Linked DNA regions of Lepisosteus oculatus. The protein of the gene in region 1 interacts with the protein of each later gene in a biochemical or structural test. Links are inferred from orthologs where the notes say so. Each region holds a gene or a part of one and is shown on either strand. Other genes may lie near its edges. The genes, in order: ptprb and cntn1b.

Evidence for each region.
Region 2: the proteins of ptprb (region 1) and cntn1b form a complex in vitro, tested with the Homo sapiens proteins (2 studies listed by BioGRID). The link is inferred for Lepisosteus oculatus from reciprocal best matches to the Homo sapiens genes PTPRB and CNTN1.

The regions. Positions count from the first base shown.
Region 1 is NC_090702.1:23,004,744-23,017,416, forward strand, and holds the start of ptprb (receptor-type tyrosine-protein phosphatase beta), read left to right. Parts: upstream 1-6,721; 5' UTR 6,722-6,763; coding exon 6,764-6,818; intron 6,819-7,826; coding exon 7,827-8,228; intron 8,229-12,187; coding exon 12,188-12,673. Other genes in the region: ptprr (receptor-type tyrosine-protein phosphatase R), read left to right, coding at 191-284. UniProt on the Homo sapiens protein: Plays an important role in blood vessel remodeling and angiogenesis. Not necessary for the initial formation of blood vessels, but is essential for their maintenance and remodeling. Can induce dephosphorylation of TEK/TIE2, CDH5/VE-cadherin and KDR/VEGFR-2.
Region 2 is NC_090702.1:30,812,030-30,824,783, reverse strand, and holds the start of cntn1b (contactin 1b), read left to right. Parts: upstream 1-6,855; 5' UTR 6,856-7,028; intron 7,029-8,518; 5' UTR 8,519-8,610; intron 8,611-12,754. UniProt on the Homo sapiens protein: Contactins mediate cell surface interactions during nervous system development.

The DNA.
Region 1 (12,673 bases):
TGTAACTCTATGTGCGAATGTAGCTGCAAACAGTAGTAGATGTAGTTTGCAGAAGATGCAGAAGACAAAGAAATACTGTGGATAAATGTGGTAAAACATGTCTAGAGAACATTTGAGCATAATGTGTACTTCCCCCTAGCTTTGATTATGCTGAGACTTTTTTGTCATTTTGTTTCTTCTCCATGTGTAGAGGAGGCATGATCCAGACAGGTGAACAGTACGAGTTTGTGCACCATGCCTTGAGTCTCTACGAAAGCAGGCTCTCCACCGACGCTGGCCAGTGATAATTTGTTGTGCTGTTTTGCCAAGTCTTCGTTTATTTGGAGGAAGAGTTGAAAGGTAATTGTATTACCTACTGGCAGCATCTCACGCAAGGAGTGCGATCCAGTTGCGTTTCTCTAAGATGAACTTGTGTGGCACAAGTTAGGATGGCAGGTAACCTGGAAAGATGAGTGTCCGTTAATGAATGTAGTATATTCTCTTTTCTTTTATCTGCCTCAAAAAAGCTTTTCTTATAAGAATTTATGCATTCCATCTCATTGCCATTGCAGTGCTGCAGGTTTAAGTGTATTCTTACAGTATGGTTGTACCAGTAGTACCCAACAACTCTTGACTTCTGCCAGTAGTATCCAGCTTCTGCATAAGTAACTAATGGCTGTTCTTGATGCTAATGGATTTGGTATCTACAGCCAGTTTTACTTATTTGATTTTGATAAAATAGTAAGTTGAAAGAAAATGGGAATCAGTTAAATGCTTGCAAAATGGGAGATCACACTGACAGAAGTTACAATTCAAAAGACTGTTATACTCTACTCGACGTGGTTGAAGTATTTGTGAGCCAAACCGTCCCAGCAGACACATCTGCAGCAGGAGGCTTAAACCAAGTCAGGTTATGAATTACTCATAGGTTTTCTGGTTAATTTGTTCTATGATTATTGTTAATACAGAGGTAGGGGAGAGTGGTGTTAACCAGAAATGGACAGATAAAAAATATGAAGGTCCAGGTAACATGGATTTCTGTTTCAACTCAATACACTTTTTTTTTCATTTTGCTGTCCTGTTTTTCTGCCAATTACACAGAAAGCTACAAAAATAACTTTTACCAAAATATGAACTACATGGACAACAACAAGCTATCCTGCCTACATATTTTAGAACATATGGCATGTATTACTTGTGGCTTTTTGGTATGTGAAGGATGCTTGAAATGTTTCCCAAAGAAGCTCCTTTGCCATTTAATGCTTATATTTATTACTGAATCCTATTATGCTTAAGGTGGTGGCTTTGATAGCCTTGTCTTGTAGTTAAGCCACTCACAACATTGGTACATTTACAAATCAGTTTTACACACTTTTCCTAATAATGGCCTGTTTAATATAGCCGTTTGTCAGGGTTAAATCACTACAAATTTTAAAGGGCTGTTCACCGTATCTTTACAACATCCTGACCATGTCAAAGATCAAACAGTAAATTTATTGGGGCTACAATTAAAGGAGGTTTCTGTTTAAAGTATTTGTTCTGTTAAAATCAGTTCATTCGTTAAAGCAAGTGCTAGCATATCAATGCATAATATTATTTTTTTTAGGTATATTTAAGTTTGTAAACATCAGAATTTGGAAAATACATAATCACTTGTTGATCATCAAACAGAAAACTACTGTTACATTTGCATTAATCAGTTATTGTACAGCGTATTGTATCCTCTTCATTTAATATCTGTACTGTACCCCACACTTTTCTATTTTTTCCAAATATGCTCACAGTAACAAGAGGAAAGAGCAATAATTTCATCCAACTTTAAGACTAAAGTCCACAGATCTTTATGCAGATTAATAGCTGTTCACATACATTCCTGTATGTACTGTATGGTACATTAAGAAAATATAGTAGACAAACAGTATATGTAAAACAGAAAAACAGTATATTTATTAGACAGAAAGTATATTTTAACTGTTTTACACTTTAAACAGTAGGCAAAACTGTCCCTGGGGTAGCACTGCTCCTGTAGACTACACACTGGTTCATAGATCTCAGACTGCAAAAGCTGTCTAACCCTAACCATAGCCTCCAAGAAACAGTCTGAAATTTTCTGTGCTATAAAGTGCTGTCATTAACATTGCTAATAACCTTTGAGCTCATTCGTATTCGGTGGGTTTTTGCTTATTTCACATTCACTTAATCATCAATGATTTACAGTATACTTCCACTTAATGAATTCCAATTATGAATCAGAATGGGCAAATTGTTGGATTAAAAGATGATTGTTGGTACAAGAATGCTTCACATCTTTTTGAACCATGGAACACATATACAAGGTAATCGAAGCCTGATTCATTGATCCATCCACAGTGCCAGCGTACTGCTGCTATCCTGATCAATTATCAGTCAAGTTCTGTTCCCAGCAGCAGAGCTTCACTAAGATTAGTCCATCCTTCAGTGCTGCAGTACAGTCCCTTTCAACACCAGATCCTTTTCAAAGCGCCTTTTTTTCAGATAATGACATATTAAAATATGCATCAGCCAAACTGGATGGTTAAGAAATGTAAGTGAGGATTTTTGATTATGTAGAATTAAACAACTAATAGGGAACAAATGCAAGTAATGGATGCTGGTGTGCTTTGCTCCCAAATACTTCTACTACTGGTAACAGCTATAATTAATATTTTGAGATTTTCAGACTTTACCTGATATGAATTTGTATCGTATTTATAAAAATGTGATATTTACATGTTATTTCACTAAAGTCAGTTTTATGCAGAGGATTTTTTTTGTTGTTGTTGAGAATTTGGGGTTCAGTACAGTATGTAAATGTTACCCAACTGCTTTACTTTATATACATGTGAAAACAATGTAAATGTTAAAGTGCTATTATAAATTATGTGGCTGGCATATCTTTTGACCACATAACATCTTGCTGCTGAAACTGCAAGTGTTTAAAATTTTAGGGGAAAAAAAAGATATCTGTTTGACTATGAAAACATTTAGAAACTTTTTTGTATGTAATGATTTTTTTAATTATTGTTTGTGATACAAAGGTTTTAAAAATATATATTTGTCTATTTATAGTAGATCTACAGTATGTAGCAGGTACAATGCACAATGCCCATTACTTATTGTGTAAAAATCCAAAATGTCAGTGTATATTGTTTACTGTTTGTAGAAATTATCCACTATGTGGTCTGATGGCTATATAAGCCATATGATGAGCTGTTCAATATATATATATTAATCAAGATGAATGTTGTGATATGTTAACTACCTAATATATACCCATTTATATACATAAAACTATATACTGAACATATGTATGCCACAAATTGTATGTAAGAGAGTAACAGAGCTGCTAAACTGAATGACTACATTATTCATTAACACCTTATTTAAAGGTTGCTGGGGCTGGCTTGTACTTCATCTGCGTTGCCAATTAATAAAAAATAAATACTTTGTGAGTCGGAACACAAAGAACGTGAAATAAGAAGTGATTACGAAAGGTGGCGTAAGGAGAAATTTAGGTCATAGACACTGACATGGAATGACAGTAGCTGCTCTTCTGGTACTGTAGGTCCACTTTCATTGTTAAAGATGAATTTGAAACGATGGACACTAATTACAGTAGGGTGGCTTTATGAAACGCAGACACAACACTTAAGTGATTGATGGACACGTCTTGTCATTCAGGTCCTCGTGCCTTTGGTTTCTTAATCACACCAAGAACGCTTTTGTCTTGAGACCAAATGAGCCAGTTTATTCTCTATTCACTGCCTTTAACACAAGGCAAAGACCAGTCTTGTAACACTTCAGCAGTAACTCAGTAGTGGACTTTCTTACAGTGTCTATTACTCTATGGTGATGTGACTGGTAGGAGTCTAGACTAATTTTCCATCTGCAGCTCATTTACTGTGGATTAGAGATTTTAGCCACAAGGAGAAACAGGGCAAATTGGTGATACCATTAAAAAATAGGGGTATCAAACTGTAAGCCAATTTGCAAGAAGTCTCAGTTCCTGGGAAGTTTGTTACAGTATAATATACTATTCATTAATAGCTCTGGTTTTGATTTATCTATCTGGCACATAAAAAAAAAACATTGTAATCAGAATCTATTTGAACATCACCTCAAGACAGTTCAACTCATTTTATAAGGTGTAAAAAAATGGTTCATTTAATTATCCTATATTAAAAGTCTTAACAATGTACACTACTTTGCAAAAGACTTAAGGCATCTTAAGCACAGTCTGGAGTTCCAAAATCTGTATCTTATCAACAACTTTTTTTGTGAACAATTTGTTCAAGGCTTTCACTAATGTTTTCTACTATTATAACTGTTAATCCAGTCTAGTCTAGGATAAATAAAAGCCTAACTTGTCATTTTTTCAATCATTACTTCACATTGACCACATTGATCAGATTCTCTAAATTCTTGATCACACCAGTTCAAAGCAAATTAGGGCCGTCATGAACTGTCAATATGAAATGTCATAGTGGTTACTACAGTATATTTACCATTCAACTAATTTCAGTCACAATCACCAGTCAGATCTAGTTGAATCATTGTCAGGTTGTTTCTTATACTGTACATATTTGTGGATCTACATTCAGAGCTACAAAATACTGATGTATCAAGATTAACTATTAATTTTAAACAAAATAGCTAAAATGTCAGTTAAAAGTTGTCATTGAATTGTGTTCCTGTATATAATGGAGAAACAATAAGTGAAAATAGCAGAACAAAGCAAAATGTGTAAGATTTGTGAGCTTAATTTCATTAAATGATAAGAAGTCCTTAAAACACTCACAATGCCATTTTCCTTAATACAAGTATGATTTATTTTGGGAGTGTATAAACTGTTATATATTTCACCAACAGAAACATTTTTTAATTTCATTTCAAATTACATCTGTGTAGATTTGCTTTATTATTTTGTGGTTATCTGATCCAGGTACTGTAGGTCAGAAATGCCTTAATCTCATTTCCATATTATAAAGTATAATTTGTTTCTACCAAATTTATGATCAGTCTCCGTAAGATGCATAATAGGTTTTTGAAATATTCTTACCCTTATGAAAATGTTTAAGTGTTTCTGTTGGAATGTTTAAAGAAGCTTATTGTTTTTTATACAGAATTGAGACATTTCTGTAGAAACCTGTATTTATAAGTTATTTGTGTAATGGTAGTTAAGATGGTAGTCTCCAGTAACAGTACAATTCATGGCTTAATGTTTGTAGCAATATCGATACTGTGAAAATTATATATCCAGTCAACACTAGATACTGTACAGTAACATTGTACAGTACATAAATATTTTTTACAATCTTAAAGTTTGTTTTCCTCTGCTGAGCTGGGATTTTTTTTTATTACACTTTTCTTTGATCCAACCTCTCTGCTATAAAAATGTATGCTGATTCCCAGGTTAAGATACAGTACTTGCTCTGAATGTCTAGAGCTTTTTGTGTACTCATATGCATGTGTAATATGAGGCGCTGCATTGAAGACAAGTTTAAACACCATGGGATGTTATTTTTTAAATCCAGGGCGAACTGCTTTTGGGTGGATTGGTCCGGTTTAAACCATTTCAAACACATTTTGTATTGTGTTGACTTTCTGACTTCGCTGTACACTTCTAGGCCCAACAGACATGGTCTTTATCTTTAATGAAGTATATTACACTTGATTTGAAAGTTCTTTCTGATACCATGCTTTAATAAAACATTTATCATCTTCTCCTTTTCAGCTACTGTAAAACACCTTAACAAGCCTTCCTCTTATGGAGGGTGTAGAGTGGGCTCTGTTGAAGCTTTATGGTCAGGTGAGACCAAGGTTATATTGTCTGTGAAACAAGCCATGCCACACAGCTTTCAAATAAGTGTTACACATATATTCTTTAAAAAGGAAGTCACAGAGTCCTCAGGTTAGAGTGTCTTGTGGGAATATTTGTTTCCTGGGATAGAGTGAGCAGTCTAAGGCTGTACAGGCTCTGTATTGTTAACTATTGATGTTGACTTTATATTCTATACTGCCAATAAACCTATATTATTTTAAAAGATCAAGTCTCATGTTTCTGTTTCCGTAGTGCACTATGCTTCTTTTTTAGAATTCTTCCCTACCTTAAGCAATGTCTTGCAGAAATGCACATATAAATGTATTTTTGTTCAGTTTTCAAGGGCTAACTGTAATGAAGACACTATCCAGTTTCCTTACTGCCCTTTAATATTGTTATTACTGTATGTACAGTGTAAAATTACATTGAATCGGGTACAAATGTATGTAGGTATAAACTGCGATGGATACAAACTTTTCTGGAGTTTTATGCATAACAGACATAAACTAAAAGTACACTTAGTTTGGATATTGCTGTGCCTGCTGCACCATCACTGCGGTTTAAGTGGTATATCGTAACGCTCACAGGATCACAGTAACTCAGCAGATTCTAAATTACCTGCCTGCTATCACGATGGTGGCGTAAACATGTCATTAAAGTAAATTGCCATTGCTAACTTTAACGCCCTGCACACCACAAATATGGTAGTAACTGGTGTTAAGAGATACAGTATTGCAGCTGCAATGTACTTTTCTATTTCCGAAAAGATAGTACTTCCATTTTGATGAGTCCCACTAAATGATATTATACTATGAAACTCCTAAAACAATTGAATAGAAGGAAGTGCTCGTCATTGACTTTTTCCCCTGAAGGCGCATTTCCTCTTCAAGCCTTAACTTTGCTCATCGTAATTTAGTGGAAGCGTGAAACTGTAGTACAAGTAAAATGGATACCTTGTTTTTGACTGCGATATTATTTTGCCTGACTTTTACTAGGACAGGTAAGTAATGCGCTTTGCTGTGTCCTTTCTAATCCTGTAGTTTTCAACCTGGAGCTGGTTTCGAAAACGTGCTTTGATGGTTGATTAGAGTTTGCCAAATCCTAACGGAAACCTATCCTGGTTTTCATCTTTACACAATGGCAATGAAATTGGGCCAACATACTTGATTATGTTTATGTTATTTCTTATTAAAACAAACATTAAAATGTCTAATTACGCTGCTGGGTGTCTGCTGATTTACATAAATCGATTTTAAATTTATGCATCTTTGTTTACAATGGTGTTGTATGTTATGCTAAGAACGTACGCTTAACATTGTCTTGGTATCATGATAACATCATTATTTCAGAATAGATCCAACGGTTGTTATTAGTAGTCTATATGTTTTCTGAAACGCAGGTGCTGTATTATTCTTATATTTGGGTTTGTTTTTTTTCTTTATAATTTTCCTCAAGATGGGAATTAGTTACTGTTTTACAGCTATAAATGTGTATAATGTATAAACGTGTATTGTTTTTACACGAATAATCCTACTAACTGCTTTGGAAAGACATACTGTATACTGAAACAAAAATAACACCGAACTTGATGAAGGTGAAACATACGAATTAAAGTGGTTTATGCTTATGAAATGATTTTGGATGATGTGCAGTATGCTGAAATTGCTGAACACTTTAATACAGTACAGTATATACATAGTATACAGTACCTTGATTTTTTTTACCATCGTAATAGTAAAACTTCCCATTAAGTTAAACAATGTAACTTTTAAGTCGTACACTTGTTACCTAACGTAAATATTATCTTATTAATGCAGTTACGCAGATCAGTCATAATAATTTATTATATTAAAATGTTAATGTAAAATGTTAGTAATTTATAGTTCTTCATGAAAGGGGGCTGTGCAAATGCGTCGAATTCTTCTGCTATTATTGTGCAACCTTATATAAGTCGTGAATTATTAATAGAATTATTATTACTATTAGTAATTACGTTTTTTATTTGTAGAAGAGTTCCTAATTGCCCACACGTCAAAAAGGCTATGTCTCTCGACACTTAACAAGGCTGTAGTCCTTGTCCAGTGCAACATGACCAGTCCCTATCAACAGTGGACGTGGACAAACGACTTGAAACTTCTCCACCTTCAGTCCTCCTTGTGCTTGTGGTTCAACTTGAGTAGCGATCTTCCTCGTCACGCACGCCTAGCCGCCATTGGCAGATGTTCCAGCGCACCTGGCTGGAAGTGCTACGACGACAATGGGACTTTCGGGGTCATCGACCGTCCGCTGTTCCTCAAGAAACAGGGCCTGCGAGTGGTCCTCAGGGGAGAACAGAGGTATTCTAACTGGACTAAGTACGAGGTCGAATCTGGAAGGAAAGTAATCACGGGAAGTCTATGTGCAAAGAAAGGTGAGAGGTTTCATTTCTTATGCACTGGCAGCGGCGGTGAGAGTGGGCAGCGAAGAAGTGAACATTTAAATCTTTAAGGTTAAACATGCAACATCGTTGAAGGCGATTGCTGTTGGTGCAATATACAGTAAATGTCGCGCTTGTGACTTACCAGGCACGAAAAACTACGCGTTCTGAAAACTTGCCAAAATGAGAGAAGTACTGTGGTTACCCGCCTTCCATCAGCGGGATGCGCCTGAACATCTGTGAAAATGATTTGTTTCATTTTCGGTAACAAGGGGAAAGGGAATTGTGATTACGGCAAGTACCGTGTGATAGTGAATATTCTAAAATCTTTCAGTGGCTTGGCTTTTTTTTTTTAAAGTTGGTCTAAATGAAAGTAAAGGATATTACTTTTGATACCCATTTCCCTGCACATTGTGCTTAGGGATTTGACCGACCCAAACACAGGCACAGGAATTTCGTAAGCAATCTCTCCTCTTCCTGGCAAATTTGGCAGTACTGAGACCATGGCCGACAAGTTCATCCACCCTGTCTGTGATAAGTAATGCAAAGTCCTGCATTCTACCGTTCTAATCACTAATCAGACCTCTATGAGAGGTGACCGTCTTATTTTGACTTCTTCACATCTAAACTCCTCTCAGAACAATTAGATTGAGATACCCGATGTGCCTTATTCACTTTGAATCGTCAAATACACCTTTTAGTCATACAGTATACCTTGTAATGGTAGAAAAAAGGGTAACCATTTCCTAGTTGTACCCATTTTCAGATGAAGTATAGAACTGGTGTAGAGGTGCAGAGGAACTCAAGCTGGTGATACTAACTTAATTTTTTCCCCAGGAGAGACACTTCTGGCTCAGACATCTTTATTGAGAAATTAAAACAAACACCTAGTTGTATTTTGTACATTCTATACAATATGATGCCATTGCTCTACTTTTTTATTTCATTTTAAAGAGCAGCAGGTTCTGAAGCATCCATCAGGATTATTGTTTTGTGGGTTATGCCAAGTATGTGTTTTTAATTCAAATAAATTCCTGGATTTCCTTCATTTATTTAGCTTCTAAAGTACGGTTTCAAAAGACGTTTTGTTCCTAGCTTTACAAAATGATTGAATCTTTTAAATCAGGGAGGCATACTGTGCATGAAACATCAGTGAAGGATGCAAACAGTAGATACTGTTTGTTTGCAAACAGTAGAGGGTGTCAGAAAAATCCCTTGGTTAGATCCTGCAGAATTCTGTTTGCACACATGCTCTGCAACATACAGTAATTAGTTTGGATTTAATTGTAAAACCTCATTGGGACTGTTATGTCTAAAAAATGCAAAACAGAGATTCTGTTTTTAAATCATGCAACTACAATTTAGTGTTTGTCAAACATATCCTCATACTTGCTTCATCCTGAAAAGGTTGTGGTTTTGAAAGTTTTGTTGGACTGTTATTGACAAAACATTCTCTGGAAGTTTATTAATTTTGTCCAGTTTGATTTCTCTTCATTACCTGCTGTATAACAATGCTGTAAAACCATCTGAAGTATACCCCACTATTCAGCTGACTTAGGTGTAAAGGCTGTGTTAAACCACAGTTCTAGCTAACTTGTGAGAAGAATTTGCCTTTGGATAATAGTTCTGGGCCTTGATATACAGTATTTGTATATTTTGCAATAGATTGCTCTTTTCAGTGCAATATAAATATTTTATGTCATAAAGTCAGATTAAATAACAGCTCACCTTAACAACCAAATATTAAGTAGCTGTAGCGATGTGCGTACACTGGATTTATAATAGTTTGATTTGATCTTTTCTGGATTTTTCTGTCTTGAATTTACAAGGCTCACCTTTTTTTTACAAGAAATTTAGTAGTGCTGTTAAGCAAAGGGAATTTGCTTTTTATTACCTGTATATTTTGTGGCAAGTACTTTTTGCTCTAACTTTCTTGGCACCAGCATGATGAGAGAGATGCTACTGAATATTTGTAGTATTTGTAATAGGTTGTTTTGAACTGGCTGTCCTCTATATTGGTTAGACCCCATTACGGTATTGAAGAATTGCTGGTTAAAATGGAGAACCATCTGCTCTAGCACTCTTGGTGTTTACAGCTTTCTCTCAATATGTAGGATTTTTTCACTTTGGAGAAATTATGTGGGGTGAATGGCATTTTTTGTCTATTGTTTCTGTTTCCTTTACAGAATTGAAACTATTCCTGGGGCTAAAATTAATTATGAGTCCTTATATGGGACTATGTATTTGAACCACTATGCCTTTTGCTGATATTATTCACCATCATGGTTTTCACTTTGACTCATATGCTGATAACACAATGGAACATTTGGGGGGGTTTTCAACAGCTGACTGTATTCTGCATAATTGACATAGAGTTGTAGAAATCTGTAAGTTTTCCTCAACATAATACTGGAAAATGGATTTTCATCTCATATTCATATTCTGCCTTCTTATTCATATTCTTTTGACATATCCTGTGGCATTTTTGTACTTTGCCTAAACTCCACTAACGGTATATAAATCTTGATGGTAGTACAGTATTTGTTATACTGTACAGAAGAAAATCTACTTTTGTAACAGTACTTTACAACACCCTCACCACCAATACACATGTAATCCACGAGAAATATCTAAAAATCAGCATCTTCCTGAAGAGAAAAGGCTACTGTTTCACCCAGGTTAAGGGTGGTAGAACACAGCTAAAAACAAACTCCAAAAACATGTGAGTCTGCTTTGTTCTTTATCTGTGCAAGAATAACCCAGCCCCTATCAGATAAACTCAAGTGTCTGCTATGGACAGCAATAACTATCGGCAGTTTTCAACCACTGTATTAAAAGTACTTTCAGAGATTCATATTGACTTCTTTTTCATCAGAATATCTGGCTGAGTAAAAAAGTGCAAAAAGTACTCTTATAGGCTGTGTTTCTAGATGCATTTCTGATATGAAATGCCAGATATGAATGCATTTAAAGGATTTTATTTGTGAGAAACTGCATGAGTATTCAAAAGAAAATAAAATGCTTCCAAAGGAATCAAACTGGCGCTGGCTCTGGTAATTGGTTGCATGATAATGTTTCAATTCAGATATGTATTATGTAGGAGGGCTGGCTTCATCTACTACAGGTATGTTTCCCTCATAATAGAGAGAGAGAGAGAGAGAGAGAGAGAGAGATCACTTTATTAGCCATATACATTTTTTGCATAAGGAATTTGTCTTTTCAAGTACCCCAGCTTGCTCTCCATGAGACACAGACACACAGACAGGTAGAGAAGCTTGGGAAGCTTACTGTATATTTAGTTTATAAAAAAACTTCTATGAAGAGCAATGCAAAACAATGAACTAAAAAATAAAATTTGGAATAAGGTTAGATATGAGATGTACCGTTATCAACATTGGTGGGACCAATTGCAGCTTATTATTGAGCCCTTGTAATGAACTTGGTCGTAAAGACTGATGGACTTCCGATACCCTTTCTAATCTCCTTAAGTTTGAATTTTTCTGCTCATACAGTATGCTTGCAGGTACAGTATCTGTAGTAGAGCAGCAGAACGTGTCTGTCTTGGCTCTGGGGATCCCAGTGTCTTCTGATGTTTGTTTAGGTTACCTATGAAATGTTATCATAATTCCAAGTGTGTGCTTTGTAGGAAATAAAAATAAAAAGTTACAATTAAAAGCCCAGTTACTGTAAGTAGCTGGTCTCAGGTGAAGTGTAATCAAAAAGACCCTAGGATTGGTTCTAGCAGATCAGCAGTCTTTGGTCTCTTAGCTCTCTCTGCAGAAATTTGTTGTGGAAGGCAAATCGTGGACCCTTTGAGCATTTTGTATTCGTGGAAGGTTTGTCTAAATTGATACAGTATGCCGGTGTTGGATTAAATTAGTTACTGTATTTTACTTTTCTGTGTCAATCTTAAAAACAGAACACAATTTAACAAGTGTTTTTATGTTTTTCAGGTCTTGCTGCAGAACGAACTACACCAATTGTGTCTACACCTGCTAGCACAACAAGTACTAGTACAACTAGTACAAGTACTAGTACAACTAGTACAACTAGTTCAAGTACTAGTACAACTAGTACAACAAGCACTAGTACAACTAGTTCAAGTACTAGTACAACTAGTACAACAAGCACTAGTACAACTAGTACAAGTACTAGTACGGCCAGTACAACTACGAGTACAAATTCCCAAATACCTGTACATAGCACCACTGCAGCAACTATTATGAGCACAACTGCAAACCAAAGGAAAGCTGATATTACTGCTACAGTTACAGAGTCTAGCGCTGCTCCCAGTACAGATATATTCCATACAGATAAAGCTATAACACTCACTGCAACCACTAGTACAGGATTGCAAAGTTCTACCACATTGATGGTCACCAGCACAGATCTAACTGAAAACAGTGTTTTGACCACAGGTTTGACTTTTGTTCCTCCTA
Region 2 (12,754 bases), about 7.8 Mb from region 1:
TGAGAGTGTTTTGACCTTTTCCGTCATTATGTGGTGTTGCAACACTTTTGCTCAGGAAAACAGTAAGAGAGGGAAGTGTATTTCACCTCTAAAACAGTAGGATGCCACCTTGCCTCTGTGGACTTGCTTACTTCCTTAGATTAAAATGCAAAGCTTTAAAGATCCTCACCATCCCTTTCCACCCTACCTGTTATGAGTGGTGCAGATGCTGTTGCTCCAGTATTACTAGAGAACAGGTGTGCTGAGATCTGCTGGACGGAAATCGGTAACTGGATTGAAGCTTGCCAGTGTTGATCCAAAACAGAGTGAATTTCCTCTCGCTCCGCTGGGTCCATGTTATTAGGCTCAGTATTCTGTTACGAGTCCGGCTAATAAAACTGAAACTAAGATATAAACCCTAATGCAGGAGCTGGAAAATAATCCTGCAAAAGGTCTTTTCCACAAGTCAAAAGGGGAAGCCAGTAATCCTAAATTGAGAGAGTGTGATTGCCGAGTCGAAGACCAGACTGTGCTTAAGTATATAATGAGATGGAGGTGTGGTGGTGAATAAGTGATCCAACAGGTTGACTAATTCAGAGTGGTCTATGCCTTTTTCTGCTAACCGAACTCCGTTGCCGGCAAGCAGGGATCGTAACACTACCCCTCCCTCAAGTGCCGGCTCCTGACGCCCTAGCACGACAATTAGGGAAGTTGTGATGGAATAGCGGATCAGGGTTGGATCCAGTATATCATTCTCCAGTACCCACAAACATTCCTCTGGGCCATAGCCTTCCCAATCAACAAGATACTGGAGGCAGCTATGAGACCAACGGGAGTCTAGGATCTTATTCACAGTAAAGGCGGGATGTCCGTCAGTTACCCGAGGCGGTGGGGGCTTGGGTTGGGGTTTCGACAAAGTGGATCTGTGAAAGGGCTTAAGGAGGGAAATATGGAATGTAAAGTGAATCCTAAGGGTAGGAGTCAAGGCCAGTCGATAAGTTACTAGAGTGATCTGTGTGAGGATGCAAAAAGGGCTGATGTACCTAGGGGCAAGCTTGCAAGATGGTTGCCTTAGTGGAAGGTTGCGGGTAGACAACTAGACACATTGAAGTCTGGGTATAGTTCGATGTTGCTGGTCCGCCGCGTTCTTTTGCTGAGCTATGGAAATTATTGGAAAAATGTAAATATCATCCAAGTATACCAAGACAAATTTTTGTATTAAAACTCAAAAAGTATCATTAATAAAGGTTTGAAAAACAGCTGGGGAATTTACTTAACCAAAGGCATGACCAAGTACTCATAATGTCCATGGGTCCATGGGTCACCATGAATGTGGTTTTCCACTCATCCCCTTCATGAATACAGATTAAATTTTATGGGACCCTGTAGATCCAATTTGGTGAAAATGTTGGCTCTGTGAACGGACTCAAGCGCTGCCTGTATTACAGACAAAGAGTACTGGTTCTTAATTGTGATCTCATTGAGACCCCAATAATCAATACAGGGATGTAGCCCACCATTGTTTTTTCCACACAAAAAAAACTGGCACATACAAGCGAAGTGGATGGACATATAATTCCAGCCTTCAAATAATCTTGGATATATTTTTTCAGAGCCTCTGATTCAGTATAGGAGAGTGGAAATATACGACCTCTAGGAGCGATTGTCCCCAGAAAAAGGTCAGTCGCACAATCATACAGTCAGTGGGGTGGGAGAGCCAAGGCCTCTTGCTCAACAAAGGCTTCCCTTAGGTTAAAATATTGGGGGGGTATTGTTGGAACTTCGGATAGAGGCATTTCCGTGAGCACAATTCTCACCGGTAAAGTATAACATTAGGGTCCCCAAGTTAGAATTTCCTTACGAAACCAGGAAATGTGGGGGTCATGCTGTTGGAGCCATGGAGAGCCTAATACTAAGGGAAGTAATGGGGTCTCCAGGAGGTAAAACCAAATGTCTCCAACATGGGTGGTGCCATTTTGCAACCTTATTAGTTTAGTTTACCATTTTATAAGTCCTGGAGAGACTGGGGAACCATCCAAAGATTGCACACAAAGAGGGGGAATTACCTGGGTCAGGGGTAAGTTCAAAGTATGAGCAATAGAGGCATCTATGAAGTTCCCTGCTGCCCCTGAGTCAATAAATGCAAGAAGAGGCATATGTTTATTATCCCAGGATAGCATAGATGGAATAAAAATCCTGAAGCAAATTGAGAAGAATTAGTAATCTCACTTACTTTAGGATCTTGGGTGGCTGGGGGGCACCTCAGTGATGAGTATAATGCAGGGCAGGCGACTCCGAAATACCCTAATTTCCCACAGTACATACAATAAACCTCTAGACAGCATCTCTCTTTTTCTTCCAGGGTTAACTTGGTGTGAGCTACAGTATTTCCATTGGTTGTTCTGAGTCTAGGGTTCTAGTAGGTGGTTGCCGAGAAACCTCAAGCATTCGTGTCCAGGATCTTTCATGACCTCTTTGACGGATTCTGACCTTTAATTCAATCACCTGGGAAATAATGACTTCTAAGGTTCTGCCTGACAGTGGCATTGTTACCAAGTGATCTTTTATTTCCTCACCTCATCCTTGCCGAAAGAGAAAAATAAGGACTTCATCATCCCAGTGAGTCACAGCCGCTGCTACCCAAAAATCAATAGCATATTCCTGCACCGACCTGCGGCCTTGGCGGATAGATAAGAGGTTGGAGGTGGAGTCTTGTCCAGCAGATGAACAAAAAAAAAAACCCTATAATTTCTCTTGAAAGAGGTCGTAATCCTGTACCTCAGAAGCCCAGCGATCTAGCAATGCAGTAGCCCATTCCAGAGCGCAGTCAGTGAGCAAAGAAATTATAAAAGCTATATTTTCCTGAGATGTTGGAAAGGTTTCTGATGGAGTCTAAAAACAGAGAGCAGTGTGCTAAAAACCCCGACACTTGGTGGGGTTACCGTCAAACCTGTCAGGTGGGGTGAGTGGTAGAGGTTGAGTCGCAGGTGTGGCCAGTGGCATGGGCGGTGCAGATATGTCTGCTCCAGTATTTCTAGTGGGCTGCATAGCGGACAGGTGTGCTGAGATCTGCTGGACAGAAATCTGTAACTGGATTAAAGCTTGCCAGTGTTGATCTAAAATGAATTTCCTCTTGCTCCACTGGGTCCATGTTATTAGGCTCAGTATTCTGTTACAAGTCCGGCTAATAAAACCAAAACTAAGATATAAACCCTAATGTGGGGTCTGGGAAATAATCCTGCAAAAGATCTTTTCCGCAATTCAAAAAAACTCAGTCAAAAGGGGAAGCCAGTAATCCTAAATTCGAGAGAGCGTGATTGCCGAGTCAAAGCCGTAACCCGAGAGGAGACCTCAACCTAGTTGAGAGGAGAAAGCCAGAAATCTAAAACCAAGGTGTGTACTTTCCAAAGCCAAGCTGTAATCCAAAAGCCATAGGTCCAACATAGAAAAGCAGTTCCAAGCCAAAAAGGTGTAAACGAGAAAAAGCGTAAAGCAGTAATGAAGCTCATATGGAAAACCAATACTGAGCCAGGAGGTTAGGGAAGACTGTGCTTAAGTATATAATGAGATTGAGGTGTGGTGGTGAATAAGTGATCTGATAGATGGCCTAATTCAGCATGGTCTATGCCTTCTTCTGCTAATTGAACTCCGTTGCCGGGAAGCGGGGATCGCATCACTGCCCATCTTCCATATACTTTCCTCTCCTCTGATAAGTAGTTGTGAGATGTGTGAGCTAAGTACTTTGATTTTGAAATTTTTGTGTAGCTCGTTGTTATTTTATCTGGGCTCACTTTGTATTATTTGCATATATATATAATTACTGGTGTGCATTATGTTGGTATGCACAGATGTGTTCAGGGATGGTTTTATTGGCTCTATGTTGAATATTTGTATAGATTTGTATGGATATTTTAATTAAACTAAATTTCATGCAACTGGCTATTATGGCAATACTATATTGAACCTGAAGATTTGTTTTTTAACCAATCCTTGCAGATCATTCCTTTTAACCCAAGAAAATACTTGGTCACTTCTCTGGACCAATTCAACAGCCACAATCGTATTAAAAATGGTACACTATTATAAATGGGGGTTTTATGTACATTGGACAATCTAAATAATATCCTTTAATTTAAATTCTGTGGATCTAACTATATATCCTGAGACTATTTGCCTCTTACTGCTTTCCTGACATTCTCTGGTGGATGTGAATGTCACCAGCAGCCATATCAGCCATATCATGACCTCCTGGGAAAAACAAAGGTTTCTGCTGGAAGAGGTGTTAGTGGGGCCAGCAGGGGGGCGCTCAACTTGCGGTCCATGTAGGTCCCAATGCCCCAGTATAATGATGGGGACATTATACTGTAAACAGGCACCGTCCTTTGGATGAGACATAAAACCGAGTTCCTGACTCTCTGTGGTCATTAAAAATCCCAGGGCGTTTCTCGAAAAGAGTAGGGGTGTAACCCCGGCGTCCTGGCCAAATTTCCCATTGGCCCTTACCAATCATGGTCTCCTAATAATCCCCCTCTATGAATTGGCTTCATTACTCTGCTCTCTTCCCCACTGATAGCTGATGTGTGGTGAGCGTTCTGGCGCACTATGGCTGCCGTCGCATCATCCAGGTGGATGCTGCACATTGGTGGTGGTGGAGGGGAGACCCCATTACCTGTAAAGTGCTTTGAGTGGAGTGTCCAGAAAAGCGCAATATAAGTGTAAGCAATTATTATTATTATTACTTACACACTGTCAAGGGAGCTGGTTCTGACTCCTGTGGAGTGTGTTAATAAAGACCCTATGTGGATGGTAGAATCTGTAAATGACAACGGAGGACGGTGCAACGGGGTTCGGATGGGTTGACAAGACAGGGGGCGGTGACGGTAGTGAGCAGGTGCACGGGTGAAATGCGGAAGCAACCAAGTCCAAGGAAGTCCAAAAAGGAAAGTCGGGGCGCAGTCCATAATCCAAGCACCGGGAGATCCATCCAAGACAAACAGTCAAAAATGGGAACCAGGTCGGAACCGGCACAGGAACAGGAACTAAAAACATAACGGGACCAGGGACCAGGCGGTCAGGACGCCGGGAAAAGGCCTGCCTTCGGACAACCTGGAAAACAGGCAAGCCTTGTGGCATCCATCTTCCAATATTGAGACAGGAACTGCAGAGATGCTAGCCTTTTAACCAAAAACCAGAAGAGACACACCAGGAAATAATAGAAACTAATCATAACAGAAAGGGGTAGGAGTGCCCTCTAGAGGAGGGATGTGGAACGTAACACACACACCTATGTCTTTTTCATAGAAAGCATCTTGAAGCTCAGTTCATCATTTTATTTGTATCTGCCAGGTGTTTGTTCATTCCAGAGCTCTACCTTGAATTTCATTTGCACATTCTATGGTGTGTGCTATCAGTCTTACTTAAATTTTTCCGAATAAAGTTCAGGCAATATTTAAAAGACAACTGAAGAACTAAAACTGTGATGCCTCATAGCAAAAACAACTCATTGCAAACAACATCCTGATTTTCATGAAAGAATTTCTGGTTTCATCAGTGTTGCTCCAGGTTAGCTATTGAACTGTTGCTCCAGTGTTGCTCCAGGTTGGCTATTGAACTTTCACTAGACAGTATTCATACAGTAGTTGCCATTTTCTCTATATTCAGTAAATTAACAGATCTGCAGGTTCTCAGGTCTCAAGGTCTGCAGATAAATACCGTCTACAAAGAAAAACCTCAATATGAATTATTAGCAGCAGTGAGGTGATCAAGTAAGTGTTAAAACTGAAGATCCCAGATTGTTTCATGGAAAAAAACTGGTAAAGCCATGGTTGCATCAGGTATTCTAGTTCCAAAAGAGGGCAAATTAACGCAAGGCAGTCCCCGGAAATGGATCTCAAAAAATGATTATTGACATTCCTGGTCAAAAGTGTAACACTGACAGAATTTCATCAATTAATATTATTTAAACCAGTCCTCCAAATGCTCAGCACAAAGAGATCAGCAGATTTCAGGATGTACTTGGGTCTATTGGAGATGATATTGTGATTATATATAATAAAAACTACTAATGATTCAGAACATCATGCCAACTATACAGAAATAATTATATAGAAAAGAAAATTGATATCACAATAGCTGAATTCATCATATACTGTACAGAATTTTTATAATGAAGTCTTATAATGAAGTAGGCAAACCACTTACTAACTACAATTAGAGACCAGTTTTGCCTTGAAGGGGCCACGTTTTTTCCATCAATTCAACTGGCACCTGCAGTCATTGCGAAAGAGAAAGCTATTCAAAAGAAATCAGATCAAGCAAGATCATATTCGATGGCTGTACTGATGGTCGCACTGACTTAACATTCCCCAGATGTTAGCGTTAAATCTATGTTATATATTATAGACGTATATACAGTGAGAGACGCTTGAAATTAAACAAATGTTAGTTCCATTCTTAGTGTCAGACTGTGAAAATAATCTTCAGGCTTGCTCACTTAATCAGGCTGCATTCAAGGTGTTCTTTGAGATTCTGACATTTATAAAGAAACAGTAAGTATATGTCTGCATGTCTGTCAGCAAGGCCATGTAACAACAATCTACTTCACCACCACCACCACTAATAATAATAATAATAATAATAATAATAATAATAATAATAATAATAATAATTCAGGTATATTATGTCAGGGACACTGTTAATTGTTTTTAATTGTTTTGAACTGTCTCTACAGTCTTCGTTCATGCTTTCAACACAGAGCTGCAAAAGACTGCCACGATTTTTGACTCAGCTCTTCAAACGTTTGACTGCGGACCTACTGCAGCTATCACTGGCATCTCTGCTCAGATGTGTTCATACTAATAGGTTTCAGTGGCGTCGCATTCGTCCAATAGCAGCCACATGAGCGCCGCTCCACCACCACCACCACGGCGTCTGTCATCATCTAGTATCCAATAGAAGAATCTGTCTGTCGGGCTTGTTTGTCTAGCGGTGCGGTGCTGACCCAGGTGTGTTTTGCAGAGATTTCACGGACAGACGGTCCACAAGATCAGGTAAGAAAACGGAAACATGAAAATAAAATTGAACTCAAGTTGTTATTGTCACGGCGGCAGCCAGTCTCCTTATTAATATGTAATGCATAAACCTGTCAGTTGGGTTACCGCAATGCAGACCGTGCATTACAACAGCTGTCCGTACCTCCTTTCACTTGGCATTCATAGACTCGTTTGCACTGGAAAAAAATAAAATGTTTCATATGTTTAAAGTAAAATTGTACTGACGTAACATTTCTCTCAAGACACATATGCGCGCATATGTTGAGATTTTTTACATACAGTAGATACACCTTGCATGCACTAACACTAGTTTTGCTTTTTTGCTTTTACCGCTGTAAAAATCTGCATTTCAGCTGGATAGGCTTCTCTACTTGTATTTGAAAAAAGAAGCAGTTTCCACAATTACACCTATCCAAGATTCATTGTAATCGTGTAGAAGGGGAAAACGGCGAAAACAAACAGGCTGTGTGAGTCTAGAACCTATTTCCCCTGCAAAAAGCTAACGAAATGCAATGAATAATTTTTTTCGCATGTTAGAATAAACCGTAAATATCTCATGGTCATGTGATTTTAAATGAGATAACTGTGATTTTTTAAGTGTCACGGTGAATGCCAGTTTCAGACAAAAAGGTCGAATACGAGGATGCATGCGAGTGGACTGTAAACGCTTTAAATTGCGGTCTTCTCCGTTTCTGGTGCTAAAGGATGCAGAGGACAGACTTACTGTTAAGTAGTAAAGGCTGTAGAATGTCAATGGGCGTGGCTGTCTAGTAAGCGGTGGAGGCTTTTGGTTCTCCTAGCCTCTCAGCCGTGAGATATCAACGGATTCATCTGCATTTAGATTACAGCCCTGGTATAATGAAGAAAATTATACCCGTTGCTGTTAAAATAATTGCGATCTGCACACTTTTAAATGTACGAATTCATCTCGTGTTTCATATTTCTTGAGTCCTCAGATAACATCATTTGCACTGTCACACTGCGCTTTAACTAGGATGCTAAGCAAACTCTCCTTGACATTACTGTCCCCTGCTATATTTCAAAACAATATAGGAGAGTATTTGCATCTGCTGACCACATAATAATCCTAAATAAAATACTATGATGAAGAGTATGGATGCCAGTATTGTTAAGCAAAAATATTTTATGTAATGTTCTGGTCTTTTCAATAACTAAAAGTATTGTTACGTAAAAATTATATGGCCTATATACAGTATCAAGCATATTTTATTTATTTTTGAACAGAGCTGCACCTCATAACATTTATTAAGTCAATCTAAGCTTTCCATTTATGTACTGTAGCTTCAGTTTGTGAACTGAGGCTTCAGTATGGTTTAGTGTGGGCATTCTGTCCAATCATCATTAGTTTAGGCCAGGGTTTCCTACAAATCTTGGTTTCATAAATTATATTTCCTAGCTTTACAAATGAAATAGATGTTGGTGAAAATTTGGGTTGTACAATAAACCCATGTTTTCCATCTTATTAGGGTGTGCTGTTGTGAAAGAGAGACCACATCTGAATTAAGACCTTTGTAATGCTTCTCTAGATGGAGCAGTGTTGTGGAATCTAGCACTGCTGGTAAGTGCTGTGAGACCTGTTTGAGTCTCCGGTGCCTGTCTGTGCAGAGTTTACATGTTCTTCTTTTGTTCACTTGGATTTCCACTGGTTCTTCCTCTTGAGAATGTGCATGTTAGATTTGATGGTCTACTCCAAATACAGTAGTATCCCCAGGACAGTATCCACCATCAGAAGGCGTTTGATCTCCACCAACTCCTTACCCAACCATATGCTCCTCTCCCTTTCACCCTTATTGTTTTGTGTGGAATTAGACATAGTATACTGAAAGGGTTTTCTTGTCCTTTCTTCTGTCATCTTGTAGGAATGTTTATGGTCTTGCAAAACTACCAAATGTGCTTTAGAAAACCAGTTGTATGGTTTGTTATTTTGTCTATGTCAGAGAGTACTTTTCTTTTAAAAAATAATAGATTATTCAATTTGCACTCTTGGTGAATCTATGGATAAGACAGCTCACGTGCACTGATCTCTGTGAGGAATCAACATAACTACAAACCATCCTGCTGGACAGGAATATTTTAGTGCGAAATCAAACTGCAGTGGGTTAACAAGCTTGCACTTTCCTTTATAAGATGAATAACAGCAAGCACTCAGTTTAGGAAAAACAGTGCTAAGGTTTAAGGATGGACATGAAACAGCCAAATTGTGAGTGCAACAATGATATAAGATCATGTGTTATCCGATTGTTCATCAGATTCAGGTTTAATCTTTTTAAAAAAAACTTTCTAAGATGGTAAATTGCAATTTTTGAAGAAACAACATGGATTAACAAGGATTATTCACTGTGAAATAAACTTTAATACAAAAATTAGAAACTTCACCATTAAGATTCTGAAAATTAGATACCTTAGTGGAAGGAGGAAGGCTCACATTTTCTTGTGTCCCATCCTGTAACTGATTTAAGAGCTTCTGTGGGAGGGAATCATCTAGTGCTATATTTGTGATTATTCGATAATCTAGTGAATTATGAATATAGAAGAAAATGTGACATTTGAGTGGAAAAGAACATTTTTATCATGAAGAACCTTTTTGTTAAATAATTTTGGTGCAATGCAAAGTTGAGCTGAGAATGAGATGTTTTTAGTTTTATTACTTGCCTAAAGGATGGCTAAGACTGTTAGCAGGACCTTTATTTACTAATCTGAAGAACTGAATTATACTTACAATATTTTCTCTGTGATATTTTTGAGAAAATTTCTAGTGTCATTATTTTGAAGTATGAGGCCTATTGTAAAAGCTTGGTAATACATTAGCTTAAAGCCAAGTGTCTGTGTAATAGTTCATTATACACAGTTCATTGTCCATAGTACCCTATAGACTTGGACCTTAAGATAAACTGTTAATGCCAATTATCTTTCTTGCATGGGTTTCTGTACTGGAAAATGGGACATCAATCTTTATTAAGAGACTTTACATAAATAATGAGAAAATCTATAATGTTATCCTTTGTGTTTTAGAAGTAGTTTCTCTAAGTGGTTTCGAATTCTGGGTGTAACAAGGATGACTTTTAAAAGGACAAATCATTTTGGGAAATGTAGGCTTCAGTTACTTGAATTTTTTAAAATGGTATACTGGCTAAGTGTGTCTATAGTTTCAGCTTTACCATCAAAGAAACTGTTTTAAAATATGACATTATGCAGCTTTTTGAAGTACAAATTATACAAATACAAATTTTCCAAATGTGGCTTCGGGGGCATTTTTGCCATTTGTAATTTTATGGTATTTAATTCCTTATGTTTATGAATTTATAATTTTCTATTACTTCCCATTCATACCTAGTCATTACATAAAAAGTTCCTGAACCCAGTCCCCTTCTGTCTATGAGGAGAGGATGGGGAATTAGTTCAGTATTACATAAGTCTCCTTGGTCAAGGCTTTAACAGTGATGTTTCAAACTGTGTGTACTGATCACCATCTTACTATATACTTCCTAATGTTCAGCATTACAGAGGCACTGGAAAAACCTTGGTGTTTACTGTATGATCAGTATGTTAGAAGAAAACCCAAGAGAATGTCCGTAAGAAAACTACAAAAGTCACATAATTCATTGTATAAGAAGTCCTAACAACAACAAGCAGATGCCCCAAAAATGCACTGAAAAGATAATTAAAACTTTGTTGTGTGTTATGTGTCTCTACAAGATGACCGATAGCTTAATTAATATACGTTATGTATGCGTGCATCATAGGATCTTGTCATGAAATCATTTGTGTACTATGTATGTGAAATTCTTCCATCTGAAATTATTTGTGCAGACCTCTTAAGAACTATTCTAGTTGAAATGTCTGAGAGCTGTTTGAGTGGAATTTGATGGAGAGGTATGGCAGAGGATCTATAATACACGTTTCAGCGTGGGCTAGGATGATTCAGTTCCTCTGCCCACTGCCTGGCAATCAGCTTCAACATGTATTTTTTGTAGTTGTGCCAGAATTATTAATGTGACAAATACAATTTTAAGTGAAAAAAGCAACAGAAAGCTCTCAAAATACAGTTTACTGTAAATGCAAAAAATGTTTATAACGAGTTTGTAAAAAATATTTTTATTCAAATTTATCAAAATGTTTTATGTAATTTATTAAAAATACTTTATTAATGACAGCATATAACAAAATAAATTTAATGTACAGTATATAACATGAGGGAGTGTATTATTTGCTTTTTATTCCAGTAGGGGTTTTCTATGGTTTAGTTCTATATTAAATCGGAGATCTTGCATCCATCAAGACTGATAAGATGTATTCTAAGAATAAAATACAGCCTGCTATAAACAATGAATGGCAACTTAAATCCAGAATTGTTTTTACAGTAAAACCAGGAAATTATTATAAATACAATATATAATTATTTTGCTCACTAGATCTAATGTTATCAGAAGTAAACTTTAAATTAAGTTTAAAAAGATACATTGCAGTTACTACTGTTTTTTTCACTGTGAACTCAAATAATCAGTACTCATAAAAAAAAATGACAGATACATAACATTCTTAAATATTTGATTTTTAATAACATTAATTCAGTTCTACCCTCTTTGTTCAATTAAACATACTGTATTAGTAGTGTTGAACCACTTTATTTTGAAGTGGTAAAAGTTGGACCATTTACTGATAGGTGCCTCTTGTTGCTCAGGTGTTGTTTTTAGGGTAAATGGCCACTGAAATATCTAAATCATCAAATATGACAGTTTTTTCATCACTCATGCTTTTGTGCGTTTCATTAAGGTTGGGAAATGAATGGAGATTCATTCAACAGTGCTGACTCCGCAAACGTCTGCAATTCAAGACAGCCATTTGTGAAACTACATACTGTACGGTATTTCAGTTCACTACTGTTAGACTAACTTACAAAACTAATTATTGTATACAGCCTATAATGTGTATTTCCACTTTTAGAAGGTACAGATTATGTTGTTGTGCCCTTCTCAGTCATTAGGGAGGAAATTGTATTCTTGTAGTCTTATTGTATTATTAACACTTGGAAAGATTCATTGTGAACTATAGATGTCACTTTATATTATTCTGTCTGCTGTTTGTTTTGGGATTAGGACTAATAATATAATATAGAATGCATTTGCCATTGTTTTCTGTCTTTATTTAATTAGTTTTGTAGTAGAAAGTGATGGACTGTATTGCATATTTCTAATGCTTTTAGGGCATGCATGGCAGAAGATTTTGTGCACCATCTGCTTGAAAAAAAAACTACTAAAATAATGAGCATCATCTCAGAAAGTCTTGCTTTGACAAAAGAGGGTTATGTTTTGGTTCATAAGGATTTCAGTCTCTTATTTGAGATATTGTTGTGTATGTTGGCTACGTGAGTTCTCAATCTGGCCAAAATGTCAGTTTTACTTATTTTGCCAGGTGCTTCTCCTACTTCCCTTCAGCCCTATTCATTTTCACCGCAGTGTCCACATATTTCACTTTTTTTGATACTGGTGGCAGTTGTTAATGACACGCATGTTGCTTCTTGCTGTGTCAATGCTGTGAATATAATGAAAGGTAAAATCTGCAAATCTTATATACAGATGAGAATCAATTTTTGTTATTACAGAGGAGATAGAATTTCAAATTAATTTATTAATAAGATGACTTCAGTTTTAATACGTAAGAGAACATTATGGTATATAAATATTTCAGCACTCATATTAACA